Nothobranchius furzeri: one gene and its partners. The protein of the gene in region 1 interacts with the protein of each later gene in a pairwise test. Links are inferred from orthologs where the notes say so. Each region holds a gene or a part of one and is shown in the gene's direction. Other genes may lie near its edges.

Region 1 (3,975 bases):
TTTAGCTTTTTTCACTTTTTGAGCATTTGTTATGATGCGTAACCATGGCAACAAGCCGGTTTACAGTCGGGAGCAGCTGATTGACATTGGAAAGGCTGAAATAATACCTCAACTGAAGCCACAAATGCCAAATGAGCTAAAACGCAAGAAGCGTGGGTGCAAAGCGGGAGCAAAACGGAGACAGAGAAAGAGGAAATTCAAACCATCTCTTCCATCGATCATAATGGGCGATGTGAGATCACTGGCCAACCAGATGGAGGAACTCCAAGCCCTTTCAAGGACTCAGCCAGAGTTTCAGAACCGCTGGAGGAGATGATGCAAAGAAGGATTCTCCAGAGAATCAAGAAAATGATGGACAACCCTGAGCATTCTCTTCACAAGACTGTCCGACAACGGAAGAGTGTCTTCAGTCAGAGGCTTCTTCAGTTTGGCTGCAACACTGACCGCTACTGGAGATCCTTCCTGCCAACATCCATTGTAATATACAACAACTCTTTGATGACTTGATTATTATTATTATTCTGAGCTACTACAGCAATCAGTTTCCCTCTGGGATTAATAAAGTATTTCTGAATTGAATTGAATTTATTTTCACCTGAAGTTTGGCTCCTTGTGCTTCCAGTTCAGTAGCTAGTCCTCCATCCAGGATCACCGGCCTGTTATCGTGTATGAACTGTCTAAGACGAGCAGCAGAACCCATTAATTAGCAAAACAATTGTTCAAGTCGAGAGAGTAGAAAGTACCCAAACGAGGTACTGTGTTGTTTTTCCGGGTAATCTAAAGGTCAACTGTTGCGTTTGGGTACCGTCAGAATACTTGATAACTAAACGCTTCATTGATTTTACAAGTCACCGCAAGATGGCGCGTTTGACAACGAAATACAGCGGAGACAGGCCATGTGTACATTTGTATTGCATTTTAATTCTTGTAACATCTTAAATATCTTAAATGTTTTCATAAAAATACACGATACACTTTCAAGCCACATTTTTCACTGTAATGCAATGTGAGTCAGCAAATATTGTGTATGTCTGTAAGTACATGGTGTAATATTTTAACCTTTTTACTCTCATTAAACGTTTGAGACTACTATAACCTTAAGTACGTGACGTGATTAGATAAATAAACGTAAAACTGAAATTTACTACCGCTCAAGTTTGCGTGAACGTAACACCATTTTCGGTACAGTTGCTATAGAAACAACTTATAGTTAGCAACGGCTAACCTGTGGACATATTTGTTCGTAACGGTGCTTATAGAGTTTGCTGGTCTTGTGAAATCGTACATATGGTAAGTTAAAAGTCCCCGCTTTCATAAAAGATACATAAATACTCATGATAGTCTAGATTTCACGTTTGAGTGTGAACACATCTAACGAGAAGTGGTTAGCTTTAGCTTAGCAGCGACTGTTTACATAGTTTCAGATTTTCATGACTCTGGGGTGAACTTATGGGTTAGGGCTTGTATTTATGTCAAGTTTTTATTGACGAGGTTAAAAGCGACTTCAGACAGTTAACTGCTGTTATGGGTTTGTAAACCTGGTTCAGTGTAATTTTATTTATCCGTTTCAGTTCAACTGTAATGAGTTCAGAGCTGTTTCTCGCTAACATAGGATCCTGCGACCACCAGGGGTGATTGCGGTGGGTGTCTCCTGTAATGATCTGTGTTGCAGTGGACGTAAAGAGCCCTCTGACTGAAGACAGTGTTGTTGAATTATTGTCCAGTGAAAACGATTCTCAGAGTTGTCCATCTCATTTTTCATTTCATAGAAAATTCACCTTTGTACCGTATCACCTCTTGAGGCTCCAGATCAGAGTTTCAGTCTGTCAGTTTTGGTTGTTCATGTATCAGTGACTAGTGGGTTAGGGAACCACTATAATGTCTTCATATCAATTTAAATGCTTGTCAAGCTTTTTAAAAATATGTTTATCTTACTCATTTTATTTTTTTTAGGAAGATCGATATGCTTTCCTTGCCGAATGGTTTGATCAGCATGCATCTCTCCTGCGACGCTTCCTTCTGTTCTTCTACATTACAGATGGCTCCGTGGAAATGGTTTGCTTTTGCTGCAGCAGTTATGACATAAGACTTTACTGTTTGTCAGTATATTCTAGGTGCAACTTAAAGAGCAAGTCACCCCCAAATCACTTTTTTTTTTTTTGCTGATAAACTATATAAAGGAGTGTCTAATCATGCTGCAGACACATGTAGTCAATAATTTGGCAGTTCAGTGCATCTTGGTTAAAATTCAAATATTCTGCCTAAAACTGTCAGTGTTGTGCCATCATCACGGAAAGATTCTGCACTGTATTTGAATCTAAATCTGCCACCGCTATTGGCTAAGAGGTATGCTATGATGTCATCTGGTATATCATGATGTCGTAATGCCATTGTGAGCCTGTGTGTGTGTGTGTGTGTGTGTGTGTGTATTTGTTAGCGGCTCCGCCCTCTCGGTCTGCCAAGCAACAGCATTTGTTGCATTTTTCAAACATGAAGTGGGAGTGAAGTAAGTTTGTTGTAGGGGGTGACTTGCTCTTTAACGATGACACAAACAGCACTGGAACAGATTACAAACACATTTACTTTTTAAACTCTTTGTTTTGTTATGAATAATTCCTTTGTTTGTTTAATTTGTAGTATGATTTGAAGAATCGAAAGAAATATTTGAAGAGGACCAAATGTGACAGCGTCAATCAGGAAGATTTATTCGTGGGGAATCGACTCAATATCTTCTCTCGGCAGCTACATTTAGTAGATTATGGAGATCAGTTCACGGCAAACAAACTTGGCAGCGAAAAGGAAAGGTATGATTAGTTGGGCCGAGCAGTAAGTCTTTGTTATCCCGTCTAATTTCTGCACATACTGTACCTCGTAGACGTGAGCTGCGTCATATTCAGTCAGAAAGTAGAACTCAGAGACACCATGCACTCATTTATTGTCGTCGTATTTTTCTGTAATTTATAATGTAAAGATACAACTTTTGCTTGTTTAAGTTATTTGATTTACTTTTTAAGCTGATTATAACTTTTGAGTCAGACTTAAAAAAACTTAATATTTTTTTATTTAGAAGATCAAATTTGTTTTTAGAAAGTGCAACAGCTAATCCTTGAGATAACACATGTCACATGTGAGTAAGTCTGTAGCAGACTGAATGAACTTGAAGTGTTTGGGGTGCGCATGCATGTGAAGGTCACACAGATCACTTTGCTTGTCTGCAGGTCCAAGAAACTAGAATTTTACCAGCAAAAGTGCTGAGGCATGAAAGGTTTAAAACCTATTAATATGCTTCATGTGTTTCTGGAATGATGGAGGTTTAAAATCAACCAGCTTTTTCCTGGAGTTGCCTATTTAAAAAGAGCAGCAGTAGAAGGCACCTTGAAGGAAGGAGGCTAATAAAACAGGACATTTTCTGAACAAGTGTCAATAAGACTAAAGGCTTTTGTGAAAAGAATAAAGATTTAATTCCTGTTATTCAAAACTCCAAATTCAAAGGTTAATAAAAGCTACTCGTCACCTGCTTACCAACCAACAGATGGGACTCGGGAGAGCAGTTTGGATTGGAAGCAGAGACTGATGGTTGTTTCAGAACCACAGCCTACGTGGAACAAACCTGGAAACAGTGTGTGCTGAAGATGCCCGTGATGTTTTATAACCATTTTGCATCTTTTTTCCAGGACTCTTGCTTTGATAAAACCAGATATGGTCAGTAAGATCGGAGACATCCTGGAGTTGATAAATGCCTCCAAGCTAATGGTGACCAAAGCAAAAATGACCAAGCTCACATGGTAAGGTTGCCGTATGCTTAGTGTCTGTCTAATGAAGATTTGCATTTATTAGTTTTATTAAATGCTTGATCATAATGTCATCAAATGGAAACAGTTTACCCGCCACTTTTCATCATCTGAATGTTTTATACTAAGATTAACTGATGAACTGTTTTGGTTTAATCCTCGTTTTAGTCAGAGTTGTAGTTGT
Region 2 (3,517 bases), on another chromosome or scaffold:
TCATCCATTATTCATTCACCCACTCATCCATCCATCCCTCATTCATCCATCCACCTTCCACCCACCCACCCATCCATCCATTCATTCACCCACTCATCCATTCATCCATCCCCATTCATCCATCATCCATCCACCTATCCACTCATCCATCCATCCATCCATCCATCCATCCTTCCACCCATCCATTCATCCATCCACCTACCCACTCATCCATCCATCCATCCTTCCACCCATCCATTCATCCATCCACGATCCATTCACCCACTCATCCATCTTCCACCCACCCATCCATCCATCCATTCACCCACTCATCCATTCATTCATCCATCCATTCCTCATTCATCCATCCATCATCCACCCACCCATCCATCCATCCCTCATTCATCCATCCACCCACTCCTCCCACTCATCCATTATTCATTCACCCACTCATCCATCCATCCCTCATTCATCCATCCACCTTCCACCCACCCATCCATCCATTCATTCACCCACTCATCCATTCATCCATCCCCATTCATCCATCATCCATCCACCTACCCACTCATCCATCCATCCATCCTTCCACCCATCCATTCATCCATCCACCATCCATTCACCCACTCATCCATCTTCCACCCACCCATCCATTCATCCATCCATCATCTCCAGGTTTGGTGGTTCCTGGACTGGACCCCAGACTCCAGCAGCTTCTGCTTCCTTGGACTTAGGATGACATTCCTTTGTCCAAACGAGCTGGAATCTCTTCACTCGGGACACGGAGAGAAGGAGACAACAGACATTTTAAATTGAGTGATTCTGAATGGGTCACTTGTTCAAGTTGTGCTATGATGACAGTTAAACTGATGTTTGGTTTTTACGTAATCAGTGATGAAAACATGACTGAGTCAAAGCTAACATGATAACCTGAATCAGTCGTTGAATTATTCAGATGTCTAATGATTAAATCTGTAAACACGAGATAACCTGATGAGATAATCTGCTAGCATGCTGAGCTAATCTCTAAAACGTTTTTCCATCCCTGCGGTTTGCTGCTGGTTTGTTCTAAAGCTCCATGTTTATCTGGACAGTGGAAGAACTCCAGAAGAAGCTGCAGACTGTTGCTAACCCACCTCCTGCTCCTGCACCTCCGCCACCACCTCCACCTCCCCCACCTCCTCCACCTTCATCCTCCAACCCTCTCAGGTCTGAACTTTCTCCCGTAGCTTATGAGGCTCTTGGTGGCGTTGAAGCATCATTCAAACCCAGATGGTGTGGTCTTTAGGCTGGTTCTGTTCTCATCCTTCAGCTCATGTTCCTTCTTTTAGTGAACAAACCCAAACCGGAAGTGACCTTCTGGTTCTACGTTCTCCTGAGAAATATCTAATAAACTCTCCTTCTTCACAGGAAACAGTTCATCTTAGACCTGCTGGTGGTTTTAGAGTCCAGATGGACTTGAACCGTCTAACTAGCTGGTTAGTGGCTGGTTAACCAGCAGATGAACTACTTGGTTTAGTTTCTTTGTTTAAATGGCTCATAAAAACTAAGCAGTTTATTTATAATTAATGTCTGAATGAAAGTTAAACATTATTATTAGTTTTCCTGGTTTGGAGGATAGAGGTTAAGGATCTAAGATGATAAATTAGTTTGATTCTGAAAACTTTAAAACGGCAGCTGCAGGATTAGTTTCGTGACTTTTATTAAACCTGAGAAAATATCTGACTCTGAATTCAGAGGAAACATATATATAAAAATATATTTTATATCAGGTTCATTTCTGATCACCGTCTCATCGCTCATGATGTGTCGTCATTTCTTTGGATCTGAAAGAAAAAGCTTTGCTGAAATTAACATTATAAAAAAATAAAATGACCAGAACAGGAAGTCCAGATGTTGTTCTGTCTCCTGCTGCAGCGCGCTGCTGTCGCTCATCAGGAAGAAAAAGGACGTCAGCGACGACGTCCAGCTGCTGGAAACGGACTCGACCAAACCTCCAGGTGAACGTCTTACTCACTCGCACACGCCCTAACAACCCTGCACACACACACACACACACACACACACACACACACACACACACACACACACACACACAAACGTGCACACAACTACACACACACCTACACACACACACACACTCACTCACTCACTCACACACACACTCAACAAACGTGCACACACACACACACACACACACACACACACACACACAAACGTGTACACAGACACACACACTCACAAACATGCACACACCTACACACATGCACACACACACACACACACACACACACACACACACACACACACACACAAACGTTTTTTACAGTTTTACCATAAATAAAAAAAACTTCATAAACTACAAACAAGATAAATAAAATTAAATGTTCCCGTTTCTTTGAGCCACAAACAACTTATTAAAATCACAGAAATTAATAATAATTAACCAGAAAAGTACGAACAGGAACTGAATCGTCCCTTTATTTTTGACTCAAACTTTTATTTTAATGTTTTTATTTGTCGGTAATAACTGAATTAATTCCATCAAAGCTTTCATTCATGCTAATTATTCACCCATTTTCTTTGATTAGTTTAAATTCTGGTCTCCTTTTAATCTCTTTCACGTACGATAAATGCTTTATGAGACCATCGTTCTCAGAAATCTGCATCTTTGGCCTTTCAGACCCAGATGTTAAATTCTCTAATTTGTGCCGGCAGATTCCAGCCTTGACCCGTGGGAGCGGTTTGATGTCCGTGCTGACTGAACAGGTTCTGATGTTAAACAGTTATTGAATAAGCGAGTCCTGAATTGGGCACCAGGCTCACAGCGTTAGTTGAAATTCCATCCAGGGATGAATGGTACCACCCAAGGATCTTCTACTCTGACACCTGAATAATAGATTCTTTTTAAGCACTAAAGGGAAATATTTTGCTATTACTTCTGAACAAAACGTTTTTTTAAAGACATTTCTATGACAAAGCGTTCTGTTGTATGTGTCATTGAATGTTCTATGTGAGGAAATTAAATATTCGCGTTGCTTTGTGAATGGGCAGCATTATTGCAGAATTACATGTTTTGTTCTCCTCACTTTGAACCTCTCCTTGGAAAACTTTTGTATGACAAACAGCCGAACGGTCGGAGCCTTTACACACACAGAAAACCTTGCAGCCTTAGTAACTCTTATGAAACCATGACAATAATCTGGATTATATCCATTGTGCACGGACTGCTTTTAGACCGTGCTTTGACTGAGGTCTGCTTTAGTCCAACAAGTTGCTCATCAAATGAAGCAAATTAAACATCACTTTTAACATCTTAACAGTTATTAATAATAAAATCCTTTTGTCACATTCTGCTTTACAAACTTGTTTTTTCTGTTTGATCAGTGTGCCTCTTTGTCTGAGGCGAATTCCTGTTTGGCCCTCCAGGCTCCCGTAGCAGCTGTTCCCTGTTTATATAGCAGTGCTGATTTATTTATTTAAAGGTCAACTTCACTGAAAACCCCTGTTTCAATTATTATTTCTGATTCTAACAGGTCAC
Region 3 (3,517 bases), on another chromosome or scaffold:
AGAGATAGGGTGAGAAGCTCGGTCATCCGGGAGGGGCTCGGAGTAGACCGGCGGTACGTGGCTCACAAAGAAAGACCCTATTGAGTGCCGCTGGTTTAAGGTCTCAAATGTGTAAAATTGAATTTTATATTTCCCTATTTTTTAGTTGGGATGGACAATTCCATCGGTATCGGCCGATGTTAGTCATTTTTTAACATATCGGTATCGGTTCGATAAATAAAACCGGGCCGATGTTAACAATTGATATTTTTTCCATCTCGTCTCCGTTTGTTTGCCTGTTTCAGAGGGGGGTGGGGGTGGGGTGTCATTGATTAGTCGTGTGAACAGTGAATGAAATCATCTCAGAACCGTAAATGCGTGTGTGTGTACATAACGTAAATTCAGCTTTAATAATTTTCATTCTATACAAAATCTGCTGATTTTAGAAGCATTAATGTCAGTAGATCGATACCGGCAAATATCGGTTATCGGCCATAACAGTGATCTTAATATCGGTATCGGCCAAAAATTTTCATATCGGTGCATCACTACTTTTTAGTCATCTTGCCAGAACTCGTTTGATTGTCAGACCCTGAATGTTGAATTAATGAGAAACAAACTCTGGTGGCTTTGATCAGAATTAACAGATTAATTTGATTTATTATTGTGATCACATCATCAAGGCTAATTTTAGCTGTTTTCTGTCTAAATCTGTAAAAAAACAAAAGGTGATTTAATCTGTGAGAACAAAACTAATCAACAGTTTGCTCCGGTCACCGTCTGAATCCTGCTTTGACCCGCGTTCTTGTTCTGCTCCACAGGAACGAGCGGCCTTTCGTTTGTACCACATGTGGCCACGCCTTCTCCCAGAAAAACAACCTGAACTTGCACCTGCGTGTGCACAGCGGCGAGAGGCCGTATCAGTGTCACCTCTGTGGGAAAACCTTCAGGACACAAGGTACAGAGTCAGACGAGGAAGTGGTGGGTTGGTTGAGCTGTGTCATTTTACTGTTGACCCTGTTGTTTGTGTCCTCCAGGCAGTCTGGATAAACACCAGCGGACGCACACCGGGGAGCGCCCCTACGGCTGTGACGTCTGTGAGCAGCGCTTCACGGAGAAAGGAGCCCTCCTTCGCCACAAGGCCAGCAGGCACGAGGAGGGCCGACCCCACAGCTGTTATGTCTGTACCAAAACTTTCAAAGGTGCCAAACAGCGTCCCGAGCACCAGCTGCAGCAGGAGTGTTACAGAGATGATAACAACTTTTGATCTTTTCTTCTTTGAACCCTTCTCCAGCCAAGGAGCAGCTACGAGTCCACCTGCGGCGCCACAAAGGCATGAGGAAGTTTGAGTGTGGGGACTGTGGCTACATGTTTACCCGACAGGTTGTTCTCCTGAAGTCCCTCTTGTAGTGTCACCCTAAAGACCTCGTGTGACCTCCAAGATGGTGCATAACAAACTAGACAAGACTAGGGAAAGCTGAATGATTCCCATCCATCCATCCATTTTCTGAACCTGCTAGTCCACGTAGGGTCGCGGGGGCTGGTGCCTATCTCCAGCGGTCAATGGGCAATCAGGCGGGGTAGACCCTGGAAAGAGTCAGTCCATCGCAGGGCAACACAGAGACACACAGGACAAACAATCACGCACACACACACTCACCTAAGGACAATTTAGACAGACCAACCTAACAGTCATGTTTTTTGGACCGTGGGAGGAAGCCGGAGTACCCGGAGAGAACCCACGCATGCACAGGGAGAACATGCAAACTCCATGCAGAAAGATCCCAGGCCGGGAAGCGAACCCAGGACCCTCTCGCTGCAAGGCGACAGCTCTAACCACTGCACCACTGTGCAGCCCTGAATGATTCCCACTGGTAGAAAGCACACTCTCAGGGCCATTACACCCCCAACCCTCCCTCTCTGCTCAGGGCCGTTCGGCCCCCACCCCTCCCTCTCTGCTCAGGGCTGTTACGCCCCCAAACCTCCCTCTCTGCTCAGGGCCGTTACACCCCCACCCCTCCCTCTCTGCTCAGGGCCGTTACGCCCCCAAACCTCCCTCTCTGCTCAGGGCCGTTACGCCCCCACCCCTCCCTCTCTGCTCAGGGCCATTACGCCCCGGCCCCTCCCTCTCTGCTCAGGGCCGTTACGCCCCGACCCCTCCCTCTCTGCTCAAGGCCGTTACGCCCCCACCCCTCCCTCTCTGCTCAGGGCCGTTACGCCCCCACCCCTCCCTCTCTGCTCAGGGCCGTTACGCCCCCAAACCTCCCTCTCTGCTCAGGGCCGTTACGCCCCCACCCCTCCCTCTCTGCTCAGGGCCGTTACGCCCCCACCCCTCCCTCTCTGCTCAGGGCCGTTACGCCCCCAACCCTCCCTCTCTGCTCAGGGCCGTTACGCCCCCACCCCTCCCTCTCTGCTCAGGGCCGTTACGCCCCCACCCCTCCCTCTCTGCTCAGGGCCGTTACGCCCCCAAACCTCCCTCTCTGCTCAGGGCCGTTACGCCCCCACCCCTCCCTCTCTGCTCAGGGCCGTTACGCCCCCACCCCTCCCTCTCTGCTCAGGGCCGTTACGCCCCGGCCCCTCCCTCTCTGCTCAGGGCCGTTACACCCCCAAACCTCCCTCTCTGCTCAGGGCCGTTACGCCCCCAACCCTCCCTCTCTGCTCAGGGCCGTTACACCCCCAAACCTCCCTCTCTGCTCAGGGCCGTTACGCCCCGGCCCCTCCCTCTCTGCTCAGGGCCGTTACGCCCCCAACCCTCCCTCTCTGCTCAGGGCCGTTACGCCCCCAACCCTCCCTCTCTGCTCAGGGCCGTTACACCCCCAAACCTCCCTCTCTGCTCAGGGCCGTTACACCCCCAACCCTCCCTCTCTGCTCAGGGCCGTTACACCCCCAAACCTCCCTCTCTGCTCAGGGCCGTTACGTCCCCACCCCTCCCTCTCTGCTCAGGGCCGTTACGTCCCCACCCCTCCCTCTCTGCTCAGGGCCGTTACGCCCCCACCCCTCCCTCTCTGTTATCTGAAGGGTCAGAAATGGTATGCACCACCTTAGATGTTCTTCCTGCGACTCTTCAGAACCTTCCTGTGGTTGGATCTTTAGAACATACTCCTGGCTTTGATGCATGTTTCCAGCTTAATGTTTGTTTACATCCTGTTTTCCCATCATCGCTTCCTGTGTTAACTTGTGATGCAACTTTTTACACAATTTCAGCAAGTTTTACCACTTTTCCTTAAAAGACTGATCAGAAGGAGAAATAATGGGGTCTCCCTCCCTTCTCAAACAACTGGGCGTTAACTTTTGTTGAAGCTTACAGGTCTATAGCCAGCCCGCTAACGTCTCCTCCTCCACCTCCTCCAGGCACACCTGCGACGGCACTGCCTCATCCACAAGCGCACCGAGAACTACAAACCACAGCAGAGGAAGCTGAGGAGCATCGTCGTACAGAATGTCGACGACAGCCCGGACGAGAGCCAAGTCACTAAATCTGTGGACGCTCAGAAGGTTGGCGATGACTCCCCAGAGTCGCCTGTCGTCCCAGGGTCAT

Evidence for each region.
Region 2: the proteins of nme7 (region 1) and shtn1 interact in binary tests that used the Homo sapiens proteins (3 or more experiments, as listed by UniProt). The two-hybrid records come from large-scale screens. The link is inferred for Nothobranchius furzeri from reciprocal best matches to the Homo sapiens genes NME7 and SHTN1.
Region 3: the proteins of nme7 (region 1) and zbtb48 interact in binary tests that used the Homo sapiens proteins (3 or more experiments, as listed by UniProt). The two-hybrid records come from large-scale screens. The link is inferred for Nothobranchius furzeri from reciprocal best matches to the Homo sapiens genes NME7 and ZBTB48.

The regions. Positions count from the first base shown.
Region 1 is NC_091756.1:61,694,133-61,698,107, reverse strand, and holds the start of nme7 (nucleoside diphosphate kinase homolog 7), read left to right. Parts: upstream 1-1,159; 5' UTR 1,160-1,287; coding exon 1,288-1,290; intron 1,291-1,953; coding exon 1,954-2,055; intron 2,056-2,637; coding exon 2,638-2,804; intron 2,805-3,674; coding exon 3,675-3,785; intron 3,786-3,975. Other genes in the region: uncharacterized protein zgc:172121, read right to left, coding at 596-700. UniProt on the Homo sapiens protein: Possesses an intrinsic kinase activity. Displays 3'-5' exonuclease activity with a preference for single-stranded DNA. Does not seem to have nucleoside diphosphate kinase activity.
Region 2 is NC_091752.1:9,266,139-9,269,655, reverse strand, and holds part of shtn1 (shootin-1), read left to right. Parts: intron 1-1,070; coding exon 1,071-1,185; intron 1,186-1,893; coding exon 1,894-1,976; intron 1,977-3,517. UniProt on the Homo sapiens protein: Involved in the generation of internal asymmetric signals required for neuronal polarization and neurite outgrowth.
Region 3 is NC_091755.1:39,583,368-39,586,884, reverse strand, and holds part of zbtb48 (telomere zinc finger-associated protein), read left to right. Parts: intron 1-800; coding exon 801-937; intron 938-1,016; coding exon 1,017-1,181; intron 1,182-1,273; coding exon 1,274-1,362; intron 1,363-3,330; coding exon 3,331-3,517. UniProt on the Homo sapiens protein: Plays a critical role in transcriptional regulation and chromatin remodeling. Acts as a regulator of telomere length. Directly binds the telomeric double-stranded 5'-TTAGGG-3' repeat.